Ovis aries: one gene and its partners. The protein of the gene in region 1 interacts with the protein of each later gene in a pairwise test. Links are inferred from orthologs where the notes say so. Each region holds a gene or a part of one and is shown in the gene's direction. Other genes may lie near its edges. The genes, in order: CCDC102B, ENKD1 and PPP1R18.

What was found.
Region 2: the proteins of CCDC102B (region 1) and ENKD1 interact in binary tests that used the Homo sapiens proteins (3 or more experiments, as listed by UniProt). The two-hybrid records come from large-scale screens. The link is inferred for Ovis aries from reciprocal best matches to the Homo sapiens genes CCDC102B and ENKD1.
Region 3: the proteins of CCDC102B (region 1) and PPP1R18 interact in binary tests that used the Homo sapiens proteins (3 or more experiments, as listed by UniProt). The two-hybrid records come from large-scale screens. The link is inferred for Ovis aries from reciprocal best matches to the Homo sapiens genes CCDC102B and PPP1R18.

What each region holds. Positions count from the first base shown.
Region 1 is NC_056076.1:8,633,325-8,639,975, reverse strand, and holds the start of CCDC102B (coiled-coil domain-containing protein 102B), read left to right. Parts: upstream 1-1,993; 5' UTR 1,994-2,045; intron 2,046-6,651. UniProt on the Homo sapiens protein: During interphase, forms fibers at the proximal ends of centrioles to maintain centrosome cohesion. During mitosis, dissociates from the centrosome following phosphorylation to allow centrosome separation. Contributes to CROCC/rootletin filament formation.
Region 2 is NC_056067.1:34,773,838-34,780,508, reverse strand, and holds ENKD1 (enkurin domain-containing protein 1), read left to right. Parts: upstream 1-2,176; 5' UTR 2,177-2,236; exon of another isoform or gene 2,237-2,281; intron 2,282-2,462; 5' UTR 2,463-2,477; coding exon 2,478-2,562; intron 2,563-2,647; coding exon 2,648-2,848; intron 2,849-3,389; coding exon 3,390-3,562; intron 3,563-4,584; coding exon 4,585-4,710; intron 4,711-4,798; coding exon 4,799-4,962; intron 4,963-5,062; coding exon 5,063-5,199; coding exon of another isoform or gene 5,200-5,203; intron 5,204-5,289; coding exon 5,290-5,450; 3' UTR 5,451-5,663; downstream 5,664-6,671. Other genes in the region: C14H16orf86 (uncharacterized protein C16orf86 homolog), read right to left, coding at 334-743, 845-1,092, 1,432-1,658, 1,852-1,956; PARD6A (partitioning defective 6 homolog alpha), read right to left, coding at 5,977-6,671. UniProt on the Homo sapiens protein: Microtubule-binding protein which regulates microtubule organization and stability. Promotes the stability of astral microtubules and facilitates the proper orientation of the mitotic spindle.
Region 3 is NC_056073.1:27,437,464-27,444,132, forward strand, and holds the start of PPP1R18 (phostensin), read left to right. Parts: upstream 1-2,308; 5' UTR 2,309-2,381; exon of another isoform or gene 2,382-3,033; intron 3,034-4,117; 5' UTR 4,118-4,144; coding exon 4,145-5,764; intron 5,765-6,669. Other genes in the region: NRM (nurim), read left to right, coding at 1-174, 779-955, 1,309-1,590.

The sequences.
Region 1 (6,651 bases):
CAGTTTTAAATAACTTGATGCTATATTGTCATCTTTCCTAGTAGCAGAGTATAGTGTGATGATATATATGAGTGTTGGAGACTCAGAAGAGGATTGGATCCAAATGTCAGTATTTGGAAATATTACAATATTCGGAAGGAAAGGTGATCATTGAAACCATTAGAATGGGTGACATTATCCAGAAAGGTAATAGATTTACATGAAGACACACTGAAGGATGTAAGGATGAGGGGGAAAAGAAAAGTGAGTGGTCACACGGGAGACCAGGAAGATGTAGTGCTGAGATCTGAGAAGTCTTCACATCGGCGCTGTGGTGAACAATAACAACGGCTACGTAGATGCCGAGTAGCACGGAGACTGAGAGGAGTCTATGAAATTAAAAAAAAAAAAAAATAGTGCCTGTGTGTGAATGCGTGTGTGCAGAGGGGCAAGTATGTGTTTTCAGAGACAGTCACTTTGGTGAACTAAAGGGAGTAGTGGACAGATTAAGTGGAGTTCTTAGAAAGAACTGGAAAGAGGTCTTTCAGTCATCTTACCGTGAAACAGAAGAGAATGCTAACTACGAGGGAAGATGACCCACCTGAGAGCAAGACCCACTGGCATACCTGAGACTCGCAGAACTGATGGTGTTTAGGATCCCATGAGGAAAACCCAGAGGAAAGGAGAGTTCAGTGAGAGAAGGGTATAGTGACTGAGCACATCTGAAAAGACAGGATGGAAGGAAACCTCAGAGGGTTCACTTTCTGTGGGGGATTGGTCACCCTCCATTGTATCAGGAAGAATGGAAGGATGCTCTTCACTAGAAAATAGATGACGGATCTGTTACACAGCTGGGACTTCCCCGTATAGCTCAGCACGTAAAGAATCTGCCTGCAATCCAGGAGACATCCCAGACGCAAGTTTGATCCCTGAGTCGGGAAGATCCCCCGCAGAAGGAAATGGCAACGCAGTCCAGTATTCTGGCCTGGAAAATCCCATGGACAGAGGAGCCTGACAGGCTACACAGTCCATGGGGTTGCACAGAGTCAGACATGGCTGAGCGGCTAAGCACAAGCAGGTTATACAGCCAAGAATATTCATCTGAATTAAAAAGAGGAAGAATAAAATCTTTGAAAATATTAACTCCCTAACTTTCAAATGCTGTTTTCATGCTATTTATTAATATAAGAATACAGTGACTGTGTTTCTTCTGCCCTCTCCTCTGAAAAAAACTTTGGACGTTCTATGCTGTTAGTTAATTCAACTAGAAAAAAACTTGTGTGTGTGTGTGTGGTCTGCCGTCACCCATTCATCAGGACACTTCCTGACAGCTGCATCATGTCGCAGGAAGGTCACTCCATTTGTTTTTTGTCCCACCCCCCACCCCGACCCGACCCCACCCAGGGCAAGGGCCAGAGAGCTCTCTGGGGGCCCAGGAGACTGCAGCTCACAGTTCTTGCCTACATGAATGAAATCAAAGGTTCTGACATACCTTTCTGTATCTTGATTTCTATACCCAAGTAGTTTATTACATATCCTTTTTTCTTTGGGGGCACAATCTAATAAAGATCAGATTGAACCAATGATGCTTCCTTTTGTTCCTGTCATCTGCATTATAATCTTTCTTTAAATCTTTTACGGATAGATTCTTTTTGCTTTGCCAATTTTTCTGTTACTGCTGCAAGTTAAGCAAATTGCTATTAAACATTAAACACACTGGTGGGTGATGAAGGGGTGTGTGTTTCTCCCTTTATTATGCATAGTAAAATTTCAAATAGGTTGTGTAGAAGCATTAGATTACGGTGCTGAGTTAGGGACACTAAAACGATTTCCTTTTGGATCGCTCACTTGTGATCCACGGAGGGTGTTGTGGTATTGGTTTTGATAAAACTTCACAACCAATTGGAACCTTCTTCGAGTTAGTGTGGAGTGGCCTTAATGCTGGAAATAATCCTGTTGGCCTGGACCCCAGAGCTATACAGATGAGAAAAGGATGCAGGGAATTCTTCTGTTTACACATGTGTCTGTAACACTGAGCCGCCGGAGCAGCCCAGCCAGCCCAGAGGGTAAGATGCTTAATAACCTTGTGGCTTTTTATTTAATTTTTGTATTTTCCTGCTTGGGTAGAACCTGTGTTGTTCTCGGAGCAAAGAAAAAGACAGTTGCTTATAAGATCCAAAACAAAACTACCATAGGTCTGGGAAACAGAGGGAATGGACGTTTCTTCTTAAAGTGGACTTGATTTCTTCCCTGCCTCTTCTGTTTCCCACGTTGGTATTATTTCTCCTGGCAGCTTGTTACACAATTCCAGTTTTGTAAAAAAACAAAAACAAAAAACAAAAACCAACATACTGTATACTAACAAAACTCAGGTAAGATTTTTCAACTCTAAACTTAGACAGTAAGATAATATGTTGATAATAAGACCTTGTCTTGTAGTTCCAAATGAATGAGTTAGCCAATGTGTTTGAAGTAGTTTATATTCTTAGAGTAAAAATAAAGTAGAATTGCTATGCAAATCCTCCTACGTATGCCTCGTGCATTTAGAGTTATTTTCATTTTGCTGGTCCGTGTGCTGAATTCCTGTCACTGTTAGCAGAAAAGTATACTTTAAACTTAGCACTAATATTGATTTCTCTATGTAAGTTACCTGGGTAGTGTGGAGAAGAGACATAAAATAATACAATCCTATATAAAATAAAAGGAAATGGATATTTAGAGAAAGTCATTACAGAACTGAAGAAAACATAGCCTCTGGGAAGTATTTGCTTATGTTTCCTGCAAAGATAAATTATGAAATGAAGGTTGAGTGGGCAGAGCTGTTAAATAGAAATAAAAAGGAGATATTCTTTTAAAAAATATAATTATAAATGTGCAACATAGCTTTGAAATGCACGGTGATATTTCTTGATATTCTTGCTTACAGGAGCACTAGTTATCCTATTTTCTAAAATCATCTGAATACACATTTGCTAATATTTTTGTGGGATAGAGTATTGTTACAACTTTTGATTAAATATTTTGTTGTTAATTTTATTGTCAAATATCCTCACATATAAATTAGTTTCTAATTCTGACTTTTCTCCATAGTTTTACAGAAGCATTAGATTAGAAAGGAGTCTTGAAAAGCTAGCGATACAACAGTTGCATAAGTTTGGTGTAATTTTGCAATACTGATTTAATATCAACGTGTATTTGAGTATTTGGAAAAATGTTTTACATGAATTGCATTTCCCCCCAAAACTTTAAAAAGTAGCTTCCTTGTGAGATAACATCATTCAGTGGGGTCTCTTTTGAAGCTTTCATGTGTTTTCATTGGATTCAGTATTTGTTTGACACAGGGACATAGTTTGTGGTGCCTCACTATGGGTGTAGCCTTGAAATTTATGATTTTAGAGACACCTTGAAAGAAAAGTCTGGATGCCTGAGTTGAGGTTTAAAAAATCAGTGGAATTTCCACTGTGATAAGAGAACAGACTATGTAGGATTTTAATACCTTTAAACCATGAAATTTCTGCAGCTTCTTTTATCTCCCTGGATATGTTCCAGTGTCTCCTAGTTTATAGTCTATGGGAACTTGAATAGCATTTGTATCCTACTGTTGTGTGAAAATTGTATAAACCTTAATTACATTGAATTGGTTCAGAGTAATTTTCAGGTCCACTGTACCCTTCTACTTTTCTGTTTACTTTTCTTTCTATTAATTTTTGAGCATTTGATACTGAAACTCCAATTAAAAATCTTATCTACTTAAACAAGTGATTGTAATATATAGTGGAACTTACATGTAACTTTGTTCTGTATTTTCCAAGTCTCCTGTAAATCTGCTATCATACTTTCATAATCTAAAAAGGGAAAAAAATCAGTGGAACTTGAATAGTTGCTAAAAACCCCAAAGACTCTTCTACGATGTAGAAGTGATTGGAGCAAAGGATTTTGAGGCAAAAATTAATATAGAGCGAGGTAGGCTAGGGATGAGTAACCCATCTCACTGAAGCAGAAAAAAATATACCTTGTGAGTAGTAGACACTGGGCTCAATAGAAAGCAGGACATTTATTTTGTCCTTACATAATATACAGAGGTGGCAATTACAAATTTCTGAAGATGCAAATTTCTTCTACTCATCCTCTTCTTCCTTCTTCTTCATCATCTTATTCTTCTTAACCATCAGCTTCTTCTTCATCGTTGAAATATTTTCAACATGTAAGTGTGCTTCTGTGTGCAAGGTAATTACATACGTATCTACAAGTTTGACAGCTATGCAATCAAATGAGCTTCATTTTACACAGTATCTTCATGTTATACATGAAGGAATCTGATGTTCAAAAATGTTAGATGATTTCTTTAAAGCTGCAGATATAGTAAGTGAAGCAGGATTCCAAACAACGTCTTTCTGGCTCCAGAGCTCTTCTACTCTGCTGCACTGGTATTTTAGGAATGTAAATCTGGCAGGAGTTAGCGAGATGGTTGGGAGTGGGCTTTGGGGTAAGCGAGCCCCAGGAATGGGTGGTGAGACCACAGGCAGATCAATTCCAGCAACTGTAGACCAAGCCAATCACAGCCCCCTCAGGTGGCCCGCTCTTGCCTTTGGAATAGAAAGAAGAAAATAAGCAGTCTTTACATTTAAGTTGGCTGTTCTCGTATTCAGCTCTTTTGTTTGTCTCGGTTATTTTCTTGAATGTTGTATTCATACTCAAAGAAGGTATATTTTGATTTCTCAAAGGAAATTTCATCTCTGATTTCATCTAATATTACTTATTCACAAATGAAATAAATGAAGTGACTGGAAATGAAATGACATTGGGAACACACTGCCATTCCTTTTTTTTTTTTTTTTTAATGTGGGCTATGAATGAATGCCTAGTGACTGCATCTTCTTAAAATTATGGAGATACAATTATTACCAAAGAAAATTATCCTATAAGTTTTATTTCAGTGGGTGAAGAGCATATATAAAGTTTATACTGCTAATAGATTATGTTGGGAAGAGTGTACAGATAGTAAAAAGAACTTGTTAACAACACTTTCCCCTTCAAATAGCCAAACCTTAAATGTATTATTTCGCTTTTCCTCTAAAGAGCACAGAACTAGTCTCTTCAATAGCATTCATTTCCTTCTCTATTTTTCAGTATTTTTAATGAAATAAAATTATAAAAGTTCCTTATGTTATAATAATGAGTTTTGTATATATATGTATAATTTCTATGATATCATTTTAGAAATGTACTATTTTAGAAACTTGCTATCACTTATAGGCTTTATTGAAGTAATATCTTTTACCAAGCATCCAAAGAGATAAAGATAGTTGAAATGTAAAAATTCATCCTTTTAAACTTGTCATTGTTAAAATTATTTGTCATTTCAAATGCTTTGGTCACTGGCTTTATGATATTATAATTATTTAATTAAATTAAGTAACTAGATCTAGGCTGACTTCCAAGACTCTTTCCCAGAGAGGGGATTTTGTATAGCCCCATCCTCTATGGCTGATTATAGATGCTCATTTATGATCAAGTGTGAATTGAGAATTTGATTATTAAAAAAATGAAATAGGTATTTTATTGGAGAAAATCAGACCATCAAAGAGAAGATGGGTTGGGCTCAAGGCCATTTGACTGATATCATAGCTTTGCAGAAGATTATTCATCTTTCTGTATGTATAAATATTACCTGATTGATTTATAATCAGTGGTATTTGCCAAGAATTGCTGTTAGGTGTAACAAAGATATACAGATATTTGAAATTAACGTTCTGATAGAAGCATTTTTTTGGCATGTGAAGACAGATATCCTTAGTATTGGGTAGGAAAAATATGCTTACTGCAGAACTTACAAATGGTGTTTTATCCTAATGCTTGCTTTTAATTTGTAGAATTAAAGTTTCAAAAAAAATAGAAGTGAGTCTGTCAGCCACTGACTCATGAACATATGTTTCTAAGATGCAGGAACCATTTAGAAATGTAACAGGAGGTAAAGTGACAATATTCCAATGAAGAGGAGCCTGAAACAACTTTGGTTTTTATGGAAATAGTTCTGAGGGTTTTTCAGAGTCTTTCATTTCCTCCCTTAGTGAATTTAGGATTATGAAGGCATTATGTCAAAAGTTGAATTTATGATGGCTGCCAAAGTTCTAATGGCTTTATTATTCAGTGTATATTCATAGATTCCTTTCTTCTGTTTGCTCATCATCTGAAAGAGTCAAAAACATAACTCACATATTGTAAGTGCTCGGGGGATAGTAACCCTTTATAGCAAAGATGGGGGCTGACAGTGGAAGCACCAGACAACCCCTGGAGTTTAACATAGTTCTGGAAGATTCTATTTGTAAGCTTTTCCTAGGTAGAAGCTTAAGTAATTGCAGGTGTTGTATAAGGATCCAGGTGTGCTTCATTCCATCTTTTAAAAAAATCTTTTTTTAAAAATTATTTATTTATTTTTGGCTGCACTCGGTCTTCATTACTATGTGTAGACTTTCTCTAGTTGCGGCAGGCAGGGGCAACTTTCTAGTTGCAATGAGTAGGCTTCTCATTGCAGTGGCTTCTTGCTGCCGAGCACAAGCTCTAGAGCGTGACCTCAGTAGATGCAGTACATGGGCTCAGTAGCTCTGTGGGATCTTCCCTGGCCAGGGGCTGAAGTGCCTCCTGCACTGCAAGACAGACTTTTAACCACTG
Region 2 (6,671 bases), on another chromosome or scaffold:
CTGCATTGCAGGCAGATTCTTTACCAGCTGAGCCACCAGGGAAGCCTAGGTCTGAGGCAGTGCCCAGGAATCTATATTTTTGCAAATTCCCAGGCGATCCAGTGACTGCACTGGGGAATCCTTCACCCTTTTTCCCAGCTGCTCCCTCTTCAGGCATCTTATTTGGGGAATCACAGTCTGAGAAAAGGAAGAATGTTTATTTTTATCAAACGTGGGATCCCAGAGAGGGGCAGGGGCTGAGTCCCCTCCTCCACCTGAGAGCCTCAGGCCTTAGACTGCTGCTCTGGCTCAGGCTTGGGAGGGCAGGGAGTCATGGGGTGGGGGTCAGGATAATCACTTGTACTGAGGAGAGAGTGGGGGGACAAGCGGGGCATTGCAGACACTTAGCATCTTGTTGATGTCCACCTGAGTTGACTTGTCCATCTCAGCCTTGAGGCAACCGCTTACCCCCAAGCTGGGCAGACCCCCAGGCTCCTCACTGGCTTCCTCCCCCAGGGGAACCAGAGTGTGGGTCGGGGGCACAAACATACTGGGGCAGGGCAGAGTGAGGTCGGAGCCCAGCTCACCTGCCACTGGCAGCAATGCCTGCAGTTGCTCCACACCCGCCTCCTCGGGGACCACTGTCAGCTCTGACTCAGGCTCCACCTCAGCCTCAGCCTCCCTGTCCCCCTCCCCTGCCTGGTTCAGTTCAGGGTTGCAATAGTTGATGTACTGGTACAGGGGCCGCAGGCGCTGGGCCTTTCCTACAAGAACCCAGGGCAGGGCAATGACTGGAGTGCCAAGCTGGGCTGTGTTGGGTCCAGCTGGCTGGGACAAAAGGGAAGGCTCAGGAAATGCCACTCACGCTCAGGCCCCAAGGTCACTGAGGGTGCCGACACCGTGCTGGCCACCACTGGGAGCACTGGGGTTCCCAGACTCTTGCGCTTCTTGGTCTTTTTGTGCTGTTTGGCAGATGGTGAGGGCTCATTCTGATTATTCTCCGGCTCTTCCCTCTGCAGCGACAGCCCCTGTGGCAACTCACTCTCTGCCCTAGGATGGGCTTGGTGGCTCGGGCCTGTGAGGCTGGGGAACAAGGAGGCCTGAGGAGCCAGCCTGCAGCCTTGGCTCCTGTGCCCTGTCCTAGGGAACAGTCCTGCCTGCCTACCTCCCCAGGCCGTGATCCTTGTCCTTTTCCTGGTCAGTGAGGCCCTGGACTGGACAGGGACCCAGAGATCATGGGAGTTCAGTCCCCTACCAGGCCTTGAGACTTTTGCTCTGCATGTTCCCTACATCAGGGCTCTGGAGGGTCAGCAGAGGTGAGGAATGATGGTGGTGTCAGGGGATAAGGATGGACACTACTGTAAGGCCCCATTTAAGAATCCAACTGGGGTATGAGCCACCCCCACACCACCTCCCCAGTTCCCAGTCTCTTCCCTCTGAAAGCCCCCTCACTTGACCGGCTTCCTCTTCGGACCATGACTGGGCCTCACAGTGGAGGCCGTAGGCCTGGGACCTCTCTCCTCCAGGGCCTCCACCTCTGGTTTGTGCCTGTCTTCCTCCAGCTTGAGTCTCTCCTGGATCTTTGGCTCTGAGGTGGATCTTATTGGACATTTATCTTCATCCTGGGTTTGGCAGGCCTCATGGGCTGGCACCAGGCCCTGGTCTCCCATCACTGGACACTAGCGGTGACACACAGGTAACTGGTCACCATGGCCAGGTAAAGGATACAGGGACCAGCCATTAGACTCTAAATACTCTGGATGAAGGGCACCAGCCCATGCCCCTCCCAGCCTGTGGAACCTGGCCTGGCAGTTTTGGTCTATTAAAGCGCTATGACCCAAGTGTTTGAAGGTTAGACAGCCCGATGGTCACCTCAGAATTCTGAGCATGGCCACCAGGCATCTCTGTAAGCTGTGACTGCCCCACGGCTGCCCCTTCTTGGGCCCCTGGCCGCTTCTCAGCCCCTGCGGAGTCCATAGCTGCGGCGGATCAGCACTTCCTCGACGGTTGCTTGAGGGGCATTGGGGATGGAGGGCGGATCCTGAGGGGCCAGACTAGTAGACCCTGAGCGGACCCGGGAGAGGACCGGATTGGGAAGGGCAACTGACAGTCGTTCTGCTCCCCCCTCAGCTGGAACTACAGGCCCCAGAAGGCTTTGCGCCAAGGCCATTGGCCCCTGACCTCACGGACGGAAACCATTGTTGCCTGGCAACAGCAAACCCGTCGGGTGGCGGCAGTGGGCGGCAAAACCGCTCTGGTGAGCCCCTTGCCCGAGTGAGAAGCCTGCCAACGGTACTGAGAGGTGGGCTGAGAGCAGAGGTGGCGAGCGCAGGCCGGGGCCGGGAGGCGGGGTGGGGGCCGGGAACGCAGGCAGGGCACGGCTGAGGTTAGGACCCGGGGCCAGGGAGGAGGCACTGGGCTGAGAAGCCGGGTTTGGAGCCAGAGACGCGTAGCCCGGCAGGCCTCAGGTGCAACGTTTGCAGGACGGCGGCGGCGGTATGTGTGAGGGTCCGTCCCGCATCTCGGGGCCCATCCCCCCAGACCCTACGCTCTGTCCGGACTACTACCGGAGGCCGTCTTCGGGTGAGTTAGGGAGTGAAAGCGGCCTGGCAAGGGTCGGGCCCAGCTCCACCACTGACTCCGCACTCTGCCCCGTCTGGCCTCTCAGCCCAAGGGCGCCTTGAGGGAAACGCGCCGAAGTTGGACCTGCTGACGACGGATACGGACCCGGACCTAGACGCCACCCCTCCCCGCGCCCCTCGCATCCGTCCGGGAGGCCTAGAAATCCTGGAGCGTGGCCGTCGCGGCGTGGGTGGTGTGCTGCTGCAGCTCGGGGGTATCTCCCTAGGCCCAGGGGCCTCTCCCAAGAGTAAGTTCTGGTCAGAACGGACAGCGAGGCGGCTCTGAAGTCAAAACAGATAAAAAGACGGCTGCTTCCCCTTCCCTGCTCTGGGCTCAGGCTTTACCTCTCAGAGTGTCTGTTTCCCCAACTGTAGAAGGAGCGGGAAATGCACGACTTCTTCGCAGGAGAGGACTAAATGAGGCATACCCCGGAAAAGCCCGTAGCTCAGCTTCATGGATTTATGCATGGTTGGTTGTTGAGTGTCTGCTGTGCTCCAGGCCCTATGGGTGCTAGGAGAACAAGGTCGAAGAAGCGCATCATTGAATCAAGGTGGGAGACAGTAAAACAAGTGAAGAGGTGAATAGGATATGCAAGGTGATTACTAGTATACTTCATAATCAAATATGTATAAAATCATCAGAAACAGAAGATAATTATGGTGTGAGGACGAGAACAAGGTTATGTGGTGGACTTTAGAGTATGTCAGGGAGGCAGGGTGTGGGCTTGTGTGTCCACTGGGGTAAGTTGGATTGTATGGGCTGTATGTAGGGCAACATCTTTTCTCCAGGGAAGGACCCTAAAGACCATGAGAAGGAGAACATGAGGCGGATCAGGGAAATCCAGAGGCGCTTCCGTGAGCAGGAGCACAGCCAGGAGCAGGCCCAATCCAGGCCCCTGAAGGCCCTGTGGCGCTCACCCAAGTATGACAAAGTGGAGTCGCGTGTCAAGGCTCAGCTGCAGGTACCTGCCTCAGGGAGCCCCAAGTGTTGCCCGTCTTGTTGGCCAACAGGACATTATACTCTGACTTGAGTTATGAGGAGGGAGGAAACCCACAGTGGGCTGAGGTCACAGGGGATGAAGAGCTGGTCCTGCTGCAGAGTGGGGCTGTGGCCTTTCTCTGAAGTGATGACAGCTGGGTGATTCTGAGGGGCAAGTCGGAATTAGGCAAGGGGAGAATAGAGGAGAACATTTTATAGAAATGGAACCTTGTGGTTCCAGGGTCCCTGGTCCTAACACCAGGGACTTAGGAGTGTGGGCAGTGGGGATGCTGTGTTCAGTTCACTATGAGGGAGGAAGAACATGAGGTTAGGCTAAGAAGTCAGCTGGACCCACATCATAAAGGGCCACATAAATCCATTTTTTTAAACCTTTATTTCTAAGGACAATGGGAAGGGCAGGGGTATGTATGGTGGTAAGATTCTATCTGGGGTAGCTAGTGGTGCCACTTCTCTTTCCAGGGGTCTGAGAAGGAGAAGTAGGACAGAAAAAAAGACAAGGTCATATGTGGGTGTGTTGAAGCTGAAGCTTTTGTGGGGCTTCCAGGGAGTGGGAATGTGTCCAAGAGGCAGATGGAGAATCAGGTCTGGATCTCAGAAGTGAGACCCAGGAGCTATTGAGGACGAGGCTGAGGATAGTGAAACCAGGGAAGTGACCCTGGATTTGGGGGCTTGGAGACCAGCTGTTGGTGGCCTTGGTAGGGACAGAGCCAGAAAGCTTGACTAGGAAGGAGAGAAAAAGAGAACGATGACTGAAGCCAGGACTGAGGTAGAGGGAGGGAAATATGTTTTCTGAGAGATGTGAAAAACACACAGGTTTAAATGCTGATGTGATGGAAGTACTTATTCAAGAGGAAGGAGGCCAGGTCCAGAGGACTGGTGATAGAGAAAGATCCTGAAAGACAGGAGGGACAGAGGCATGGTCTTACAGCTTGAGACCCTGACTTCAGCCTGACTGACCACCCCCCGCTCTGCCTTGGCCTCCAGGAGCCCGGCCCTGCCTCTAGAACTGAGCCAGCCCACTTTCTGCGGGCCCATTCCCGTTGCGGCCCCGGGCTCCCACCACCCCGTGTCCCCAGTCCCCAGCTAACCCTACCAGGTCCCAATGCTAAGGTGAGAGGATATGTGGGGGCTGGGAGGTGGGGCAGGGATTCCGGGGCACCACACAGTGCTGTTTCATCATGCTGGCCATGTCCCGCAGGCCCCAGGTCTGGGTGTGGACTTCATTATGCACAATGCCCGCACTGCCAAGAGGGCCCCCCGGCGGCATTCTCGCTCGCTGCAAGTCCTGGCACAGGTGCTGGAGCAGCAACGGCAAGCCCAGGAGCACTACAACGCCACGCAGAAGGGTCACGTGCCCCATTAGTAGGTCCTACTGCTCCCCCCACTCCTGGGAAGGGGCACTTATGGAGGGTGGAAGCCCACGTCTGCCTAGGGTCATCAGCCCTGGGTCTGTGCATCACAGCTTGTTGGAGCGCAGGGACCTGTGGCGGCGGGAGGCTGAGGCCCGTCAGCACAGCCAACCAGACCCAGCCATGCCCCCTGGCCACACTCGCATGCCTGAGAACCAGCGGCTGGAGACACTGAGCAGTCTGCTCCAGAGTGAGTACGTGGGCAAGGGGAGCTGGCTGGGGAACCCACCAGGTACTATGCACCCCTGCCCAGCATTTACTGTTCCTGGGGCCCCTGTAGGCCAGAGCCAGCTGCTGCGCGAGCTGGTGCTGCTGCCTGCGGGGGCGGATTCACTGAGGGCCCAGAGCCACCGTGCTGAGCTGGACCGGAAGCTGGTGCAGGTAGAGGAGGCCATCAAGATCTTTTCCCGTCCCAAAGTCTTTGTGAAGATGGATTCCTGAGCCCTTTTATGGGGACAGTGACTGGGTCTTACTGAAGGTCACAGCATGGTTGCTAAGGGCAGGATTGGGCCCCATCATAGAGTGGAGTTCGAAGACAGGAGCAGTGGAGAGGGGGCAGTGTCCCCAGAGCCCTCTTCCCAGCCACTGGTGGCTGTGGAAGGGCCATCCCAGCCTCATAACCCTTTATCAAAATTAAACCTTTTGTACACAGTGGGGTTTGTTTCCATAAGTGCTTTTCTTACCCTAGAAATGCCAAACCTGTTGTTCCTCCCGCAGTGTGACTACAGGAAGACTTCTCTGGTGCCCTTATCACACTCACTCCTGCCACATGTCCAGAGAAGAAGGCAAAATTGTTGGATCAGGGAGGAGGCTAGGGCTGGGAAACAGAATGACCATAACTGCATTTGTAGAAAACCTTTAATGTTCCCCAGACTGAGAGGGCCCGTAAGCACGCTGAAACCTCCCACTGGGAAAGTCCTTGGAGTGTCCCAGAGCCTGGAGTGGCAAGGGGCTGCATCCTTCCCTGTCAGAGGCTGAAGCCACTACCATCTCCTCGAATGCTACTCCCCCAACCAGAGCTGGCCTGCTCCCGATCATCCAGGGAGGGCAGAGAGCTGCGGGCAGCAGGAAGTAGGCGGCTTGTGCGCAGGTCCCAGCATGGAGGCCCTTGAGACAGCCCATTGGAACAGGGAGGCTGGCGGTTCTCAATGATTAGATCGCTGCTGTCATCGTCGCTGTCAGGCTCAGCAGGCCCAGCAGAAGGAGGCCCTGCCAGACGCCCGGATGCCCCACGCACCACATTATTGCGCTGATTGGCTGGCTTGACAGTGACAATGAGGTTGTGGCTGTTGGCGACCATCATGTCCGTCACTTGGTCCAAGGTCTTCCCAGCTACCTCAATGCCATTGACCTCGAGGATCTCATCACTGACTGCCAGCAGCCCTGTACTCTCAGCCAGGCCCCCTCGTACCAGGCGGGAGATGAAGATGCCTGGAACCCGTTCCAGGCCCTGGGGAGCTACTCGCACACTCATGCCATCTCGGATGTAGAAACCCAGGGGGCGGTCGGAACCATGCTTATGCAGCCGCACCCGTCGGTGGGTCTCAGGCAGTAGGTCCACATCTATGACTGAAGAAACCTGGCGGAAATCTTGTGGCAGGCTGATCAGTAGCGGTGGCCGGGTGCGCAGAGGTGCCACTGGCCGAAGTAGGAGCCCTTTCT
Region 3 (6,669 bases), on another chromosome or scaffold:
GCCCTGCAGGACCAAAGCATCCTTGTCCCGCTGGTTTGGGATCTGGGGCTCCTGTTACTGTTTGTGGGGCAGCACAGCCTCATGGCAACTGAGACCGTGAAGGAATGGATGTCCCGGTACTTTGGGGTCCTTCAGAGGTCACTGTACGTGGCATGCACTGCCCTGGCCTTGCAGGTATGAAGCCCTGGCAGCTGAGTCCTCAAGGGAAACAGCATGTGTGAAGGATGTCATTGATTGGAGCTGCAAGAACCTCAGGCTTCGGATAAAGTGTGGGTTTAGGAGGAGAACTGAGGGTGTTCAGGACTAGTCTCAGCTCCCGTTATTTCACAGCACACATTTCTCCTTTTTATCAAGAAGTATGTACTGCTTGTCATCCCCTACGCATGATGTGTGCATTCTCACCTTTGCAACTTCGTTCCTGTTGTCCCGCTTGAGAGTGCCTTGGTAACACCTCTTCAGTCTTATCCTTTCTTCAAAAGCACTTCCCTAGATCTCAAGAGAAAGCTTCCCGGTTAGTACTCACCTGTCTCCTCAGTGGGTGCTTGGCATAGGCTATTTTGTGTGCCTATGTGGTCACCCTCATCCATTCTCTAAGTCCTCAGAGTGGAGACAAGTCATTCTTACATCCTTAGGACCCCACCCAGCACCCTCCACATGGTGAACATGCTCATGATAGAGGTGGGGGGAACAGCTGGCCAGCCTGGACTGGAGGCAGCCCCTGGGTCTGGGTCTGTCAAGGGTGGGCTGCTGGGAAACCCAGTTCCTCTTCCTTCCTCAGCTGGTGATGCGGTACTGGGAGCCTGTGCCCAGGGGTCCTGTGTTGTGGGAGGCTCGGGCTGAGCCATGGGCCACTTGGGTGCCCCTCCTCTGCTTTGTCCTCCACGTCATTTCCTGGCTCCTCATCTTCAGCATCCTTCTCGTCTTCGACTACGCAGAGCTCATGGGCCTGAAACAGGTGAGGCTCCCAGATCCCTACCCAAGACATCTGATCCTTTCTAGAATACCTCTTTCCCCTCCAAGGATGTCCCTGTGCCTCCCATTGTCTTCCACCTGCCTCTTGTTTTTGAGCCCTTCACCTCCCTTTCTTATAAGACAGTCTCCCCCCAGCCCTCCCTCAAAGGCTAGGAATCATGGGCTTCTTGGGCCTGGGAAGGTTCATGGGCCAGAGATGAGGGTCAGGGACCTCCAGTCTCAGGAGGGTGGTTCCTGAGCCTGTCATAGAAGGAGGGTGCCCAGGACGGGAGGAAAGAGGCAGTTAAGTTGTGACAAGGGCTTGGCTCCATTCCTAAGCCATTCTCCCTCTGCTAGGTGTACTACCATGTGCTGGGGCTGGGCGAGCCTCTGGCCCTGAAGTCGCCCCGGGCTCTGAGACTCTTCTCCCACCTGCGCCATCCAGTGTGCGTGGAGCTGCTGACAGTGCTATGGGTGGTACCCACCCTGGGCACTGACCGCCTGCTCCTTGCTCTCCTCCTTACCCTCTACCTGGGCCTGGCTCACGGACTGGACCAGCATGATCTCCGCTATCTCCGGGCCCAGCTACAAAGAAAACTCCACCTGCTCTCCCGGCCCCAGGATGGGGAGGCCGAGTAAGGGGTTAACCCTGGTTGCAAGCCCTGTACTTCCTCTCTCCCTCCTATCCCAAATTCCCTTAACATCTAGGCCTTGGCTGCTTCAGACCAGAGGCCCAAATCCATGGACTGAAGGAGTGGTCCCTTTCCTTGCTTGAGCCTCCACTCCTTGGTTCCAGCTCCATACTGAATTTCAGCCATTGGACTCCAAGGGCCACTTCTCACCAGCCAGGAAGGAGTGGCTGGGAACTTCTTCTCACAGTTCAGGGCTTGACCCTCCGTTAACAATTTCCTCACCAAGAGAAGAGTCTGGCTTGACCACTCCCTTAGCCCTGTTACTACCCTCTGTGCCTCAGGGATCCTTTCTCCACGTCTAGCTCCCTCCCAGGGGCTGGACCGAGGCCCACTGTCTGGCCTTTTCAGCTCCCTAGGCCCCGACCCTAGGCTCCATCCTCCTGAACCTAGTTGAGCGGTTTCTCCCGTTCTTAGCTAAGGTGACTAGAGGCTCCCTGCTTTCCCGAGGAACTCACGCTACAGGAAAATAAAATTCAGTCTGGTTTTTCTACGTGTAGAATGCAGTCTGTCAGTGTCTCTCAAAGCTGCAGGGCTGGCTCTGGGAAAGGCGAGTTACATTGGAGTCTGGGCATCGGCCGCGCCTTCTGGTGACCGCTGGGCGGCGGCCACTCCCCGCGCACCCAGCCCTCCACCCCCTTCCCGGAGCACCCGGTCCCCCTTCCTCCAAATCTCCCAATTTCCTTGCTGCAGACCCGGGTGGGGGACGGGCTGAAACGGAAGAGTGGGGAGACGGTTCGGGTAAGGGAGCGAGCTTCCGAAACCGTTGTCTTCCCAGCCCTGCTCCTGTGGCCGCCCCCTCCCCACGGGCCCCGCAAGCGCCCCCACGGTAACAAAGGCTGGCCCGGGAAGGCAAAAGCGTGGGGAGGAGCGGCAGGAGATGGGAAGGGCGGGCCCGGCTCCGAGCAGCTGCCGCTTCCTCCCGAAGTCCCTCGAGGGGTCTGAGTCACGGGCCGCCGCCCCGGCTTGGCTAGCTGGGGGTGGGGGTCTGGACACCTGGGCTGTCCAGGGTTACCGGGCGGCAGCCGCGTGAGAGGCCCTGGGGAAGGACCGCGGAGTGCCGGGGATCGCGGCGGGAAAACAGGAGTCCCGGGGCCGAGGATCCACGCGGGGGACCCGGGGAGCGAGGCTCCGCCCCCGCGCCCGGCTCCGCCCAGCGCCCCCTTCCCTCTCCCCATTGTCCTCAGACAAAGCGGCGGCCGCCCCCCGCTCGGCCCCCGGGTCTGTCTCCGTCCCTCCCCTTCTCCTCCCTTCCCCCCTCCCGCGCCCCCCGCGCCCCCCCCCACCTCCTGCCCCGGATCTCCCTCTATCCCTCTCTCCTCCTCTTCCTCTCTCCTCCTCTCTCCGGACGTCAGGCTCCTTCGCACCCCCTCCCCCGGGAGCCCCGCGGCATGTGAGTTGACCCAGGGGCTTCAGACTTGGGGAGGGGGTGTCCCCTCCCTTCCGTCCCGGGCGCGGACCTCGGGCTGCCTCTCCTCTCTTTGTGCCGAGATTGCCCGTCAGTGCGGTCATAGCCGGGTGGGGACGGCTGGCGAGGTCGGGGTTCCATGAGCGCCGAGACCCCGGCGCGAGACTGGCCGGCTCCGGAGAGAAGCGGTGTGGAGCCGGTGCTCCGTACGCCTGAGGCGCTCGCTCGCCCGGGACCCCGGGGCATCGCCGGTGGGGGAGGCCGGCGGCGGGGCCCGGACCGGGTTAGGGTTGGTGGGGGGTGGACGCCAGGGTTCTGGGAACGAGCTGGCAGCTCCGATCGCCGGGTTCCGAAAGTCCCCGGGGGAGGGTATTTCCCCTGGCCCGCCCCGGGGCGGAGTGCAGGGCGGAGGGGTGGGGGCTGGGGGGTCTGAGAGGCGTGGCTCAAGCGGAGCTGGAAGGGGAGCCCGGACCTCCGGGGCCCGCGCCGAGACTCGCCCGGCTACAGCCGCCGAGCTCCCTCGCCCCTCTGCCCCCGATTCCCCCTTCTCCCCTGGACCTGTCCACTCTCCGCCCTCCCACCTTCCCGACACCCCTTCAGGTCCCACTGCCCCCTCTCCGCCGGGGATCCCGCTGACCTCGCTTCCCACTCCCGCCGCTCCTGAGGTAGCGGTCAGGCAACCTCGGTCGGATCCTGCCCCGCTCACCCCCAGCCTCTCTTCTCTCTTCTCCCTCGTGCCAGCTTCTTTCGTTTTTCCCTCTTCTCACAACCTGGGGACTGTCTCTGATGCCCAGTAACCTGTACCCACAAATCTGACTCCTGTCTCTTTGCCCTGAATCTCCACTGTTCCTCTCGACCCACCTCCCCCAACCCCATCACCTGGCTCTTAGTTTCCTCTTCACTTTCTCAGGTTTTCCCCTTTCTCTGCTCCCCTCCGCCGCCCCCTTTCCTACTGTCCTCACCCTCAGCTCCTCTGTGACCCACCTCTCCCCCTGCTTCCTCTCCCCCACCCCCATTCTCACCTCCTGGGCCCCTCTGGAGCCTCTCCTTCCTGTTCTCTGCCCCCCAGCGTTCCCCCACCCTCCCCAAGGCGACCATGGCCACCATCCCAGACTGGAAGCTACAGCTGCTAGCCCGGCGCCGGCAGGAAGAGGCAGCCGTTCGCGGCCGTGAGACGGCAGAGCGGGAGCGGCTGTCGCAGATGCCAGCCTGGAAGCGGGGCCTTCTGGAGCGCCGCCGGGCCAAGCTTGGTCTGTCTCCTGGGGAGCCTAGCCCTGCGCCTGGGACTACGGAGGCTGGACCTCCAAACCCAGACGAGTCTGCTGTCCTCCTGGAGGCCATTGGGCCTGTGCACCAGAACCGATTTATCCGGCAAGAGCGCCAGCAGCAGCAGCAGCAGCAGCAGCAGCAGCAACAGCAGCGGAGTGAAGAGCTACTCACGGACAAACGGCCTGGACCTTTGGAGACCCGGGGGCGGAGACCCAGCCCCGGGGAGACACGGGATCCCAGCCCCAAGGGAAGAGAGTCCAGGGAAGAGCGGCTCAGTCCTAGGGAGGCCAGAGAGAAGAGGCTGGGGATAGGGGGCGCTCGAGAGTCGAGCCCCAGGCCTTTGGAGTCTCGGGACTGGAGGCAGAGCCCAGGAGAGGCTGGAGACAGGAGCTCTAGACTGTCAGAGGTGCGGAAATGGAGGCTGAGCCCTGGAGAAACTCCTGAGCGGAGTTTGAGACTGGCAGAGCCCCGAGAACAAAGCCCCAGGAGAACAGAGGTGGTGGACAGTAAACGGAGCCCCGAAGAGTCTGACAACCAGAAGCTGGGCCTGACAGACTCCCATAAATGGAGGCCTGACCCCAAAGAGTCTCCGGGACAGAGTTTGGGACAACTGGAGGCATCAGAGTGGAGGCCGAGTTCAGGAGAAGAAAGAAAAGACTGCTCAGAGGAATGGGGGAGAAAAGACGAGAGGCCGATTCCAAGAATGGACCCAGAAGGGACCACAGCGTCGTCAGAGACCCCAACAAGGGAGGCTCCAGACAGTCGCTCTGCAGGACCAGAGGGAGCAGAAGAAAGGCCCAGCCCCGTAGAGGATGGCGAGAGGGGCCTGCGGCCCCCGGAAGGATGGAAATGGACCCTGAACTCTGGGAAGGCCCGAGACTGGACACCCAGGGACACAGAGCCTCAGCCCCAGAAACCAGACACTCCAGAGTCTGTTGAGAAGCACGTGGGTCCTTTGGGTGCAGAGGCTGAGAAGGAGGAGGCGGGCGCTCAGAGCAGGCCTCTGGGCGCCCTGCAGGACCGCTGCTCTGCGCCCTCCCCCCTCTCCCCAGAGGACGCCGGGACTGGAGCCTCTAGACGGCAGGAAGAGGAAGCAGGGGAACTCCGGCCCCCACCCGCAGCCCCTCTGTCTCCCCCACCCCCAGCCCCACCTGCCCCCCAGTCCCTTGGGGATCCCCTCATGAGCCGGCTCTTCTACGGGGTGAAGGCAGGGCCAGGGGTGGGGGCCCCCCGCCGCAGCGGACACACCTTCACAGTCAACCCCCGGCGGTCCGCGCCCCCTGCAGCCCCTGCCACTCCAGCCGCCCCAGCCACAGCTGACACGGCGGTCCCTGGGGCTGGGAAGAAGCGGTACCCGACTGCCGAGGAGATCTTGGTTCTGGGGGGCTACCTCCGCCTCAGCCGCAGCTGCCTTGTCAAGGGGTCCCCTGAAAGGCGCCACAAACAGGTAGGGAGCAGCCAACCCAGACTTCTTGGCCAGCCCCCCATCACTGCTCTGTGGACTCCTGTCTCTCTCCCTTTTTTTATACCTCTGTATCCTTGTCTTCATCTATTCTTGTTCATTCCTGCTGCCACCCTTCCTCCCCTGAACACACACCCTTCCTTCTTGTGGCCCTTCTTTTCCATTCATTTCCCAGCCCAAGGAGCCTGCTCCGCAATCAGGCTCGCTGTCCTGGGTGTGTCTCTCTCAGGGTGTGCCCAGGCTCCTCACTCTTCTCTCCCTCAGGCTCTGAGTTCACCCCCCCATGCTTTCCATTCCCGAGTCTCTGACCCAGCCCAGCCCATCTGGGTGGGAGACCAGAATTGAGGCCACAGCCTGGAATCTATGGGGGCAGGGTCTGCAGGGCAAAAGTGGGCAAAAGAATGCTGGGGTAGGAAGCCTGGGGAGGCAGAGGGGTTCGGGTTTTAGGGAGAAATGGCAGGGAGAAGCGAGTGGAGGAACATCTCACAGACCCAAGGAAGGGGGGGCTGCAGAGCGGAGTGGGGACATCCTAGGATAGTGGGGGAGGGGAGTGGAACAGGGGCTAGCCAAGGAGCAGAGAGAAGGCTTTTGAACCCCGAGTCTGCCCCATGGGAGAGATGCACACAGAGGCCATTTGAAGTGGGTGACCTCGGGGTTGCACATCCCCAGCTGGGCCACGGCTTCAGACAGTGCTCCCTTCTCTCTTGGGACAAGAAAAGCCTTCTCCTCTTCCAAAATACTCCCCGCCCCACCACTCCCTCCCAGTCCTTCCTCCCTGGGCGTCCCCTCCCTCCCCAGAACTGGCTCAGCAGTTGGTTTTCCCCTTTCTTCCTGGCCTCTCCCTCCTCTTGGGGTAGAAAGAAAGAGAAGTGAATTTGGAGGCACTGTGC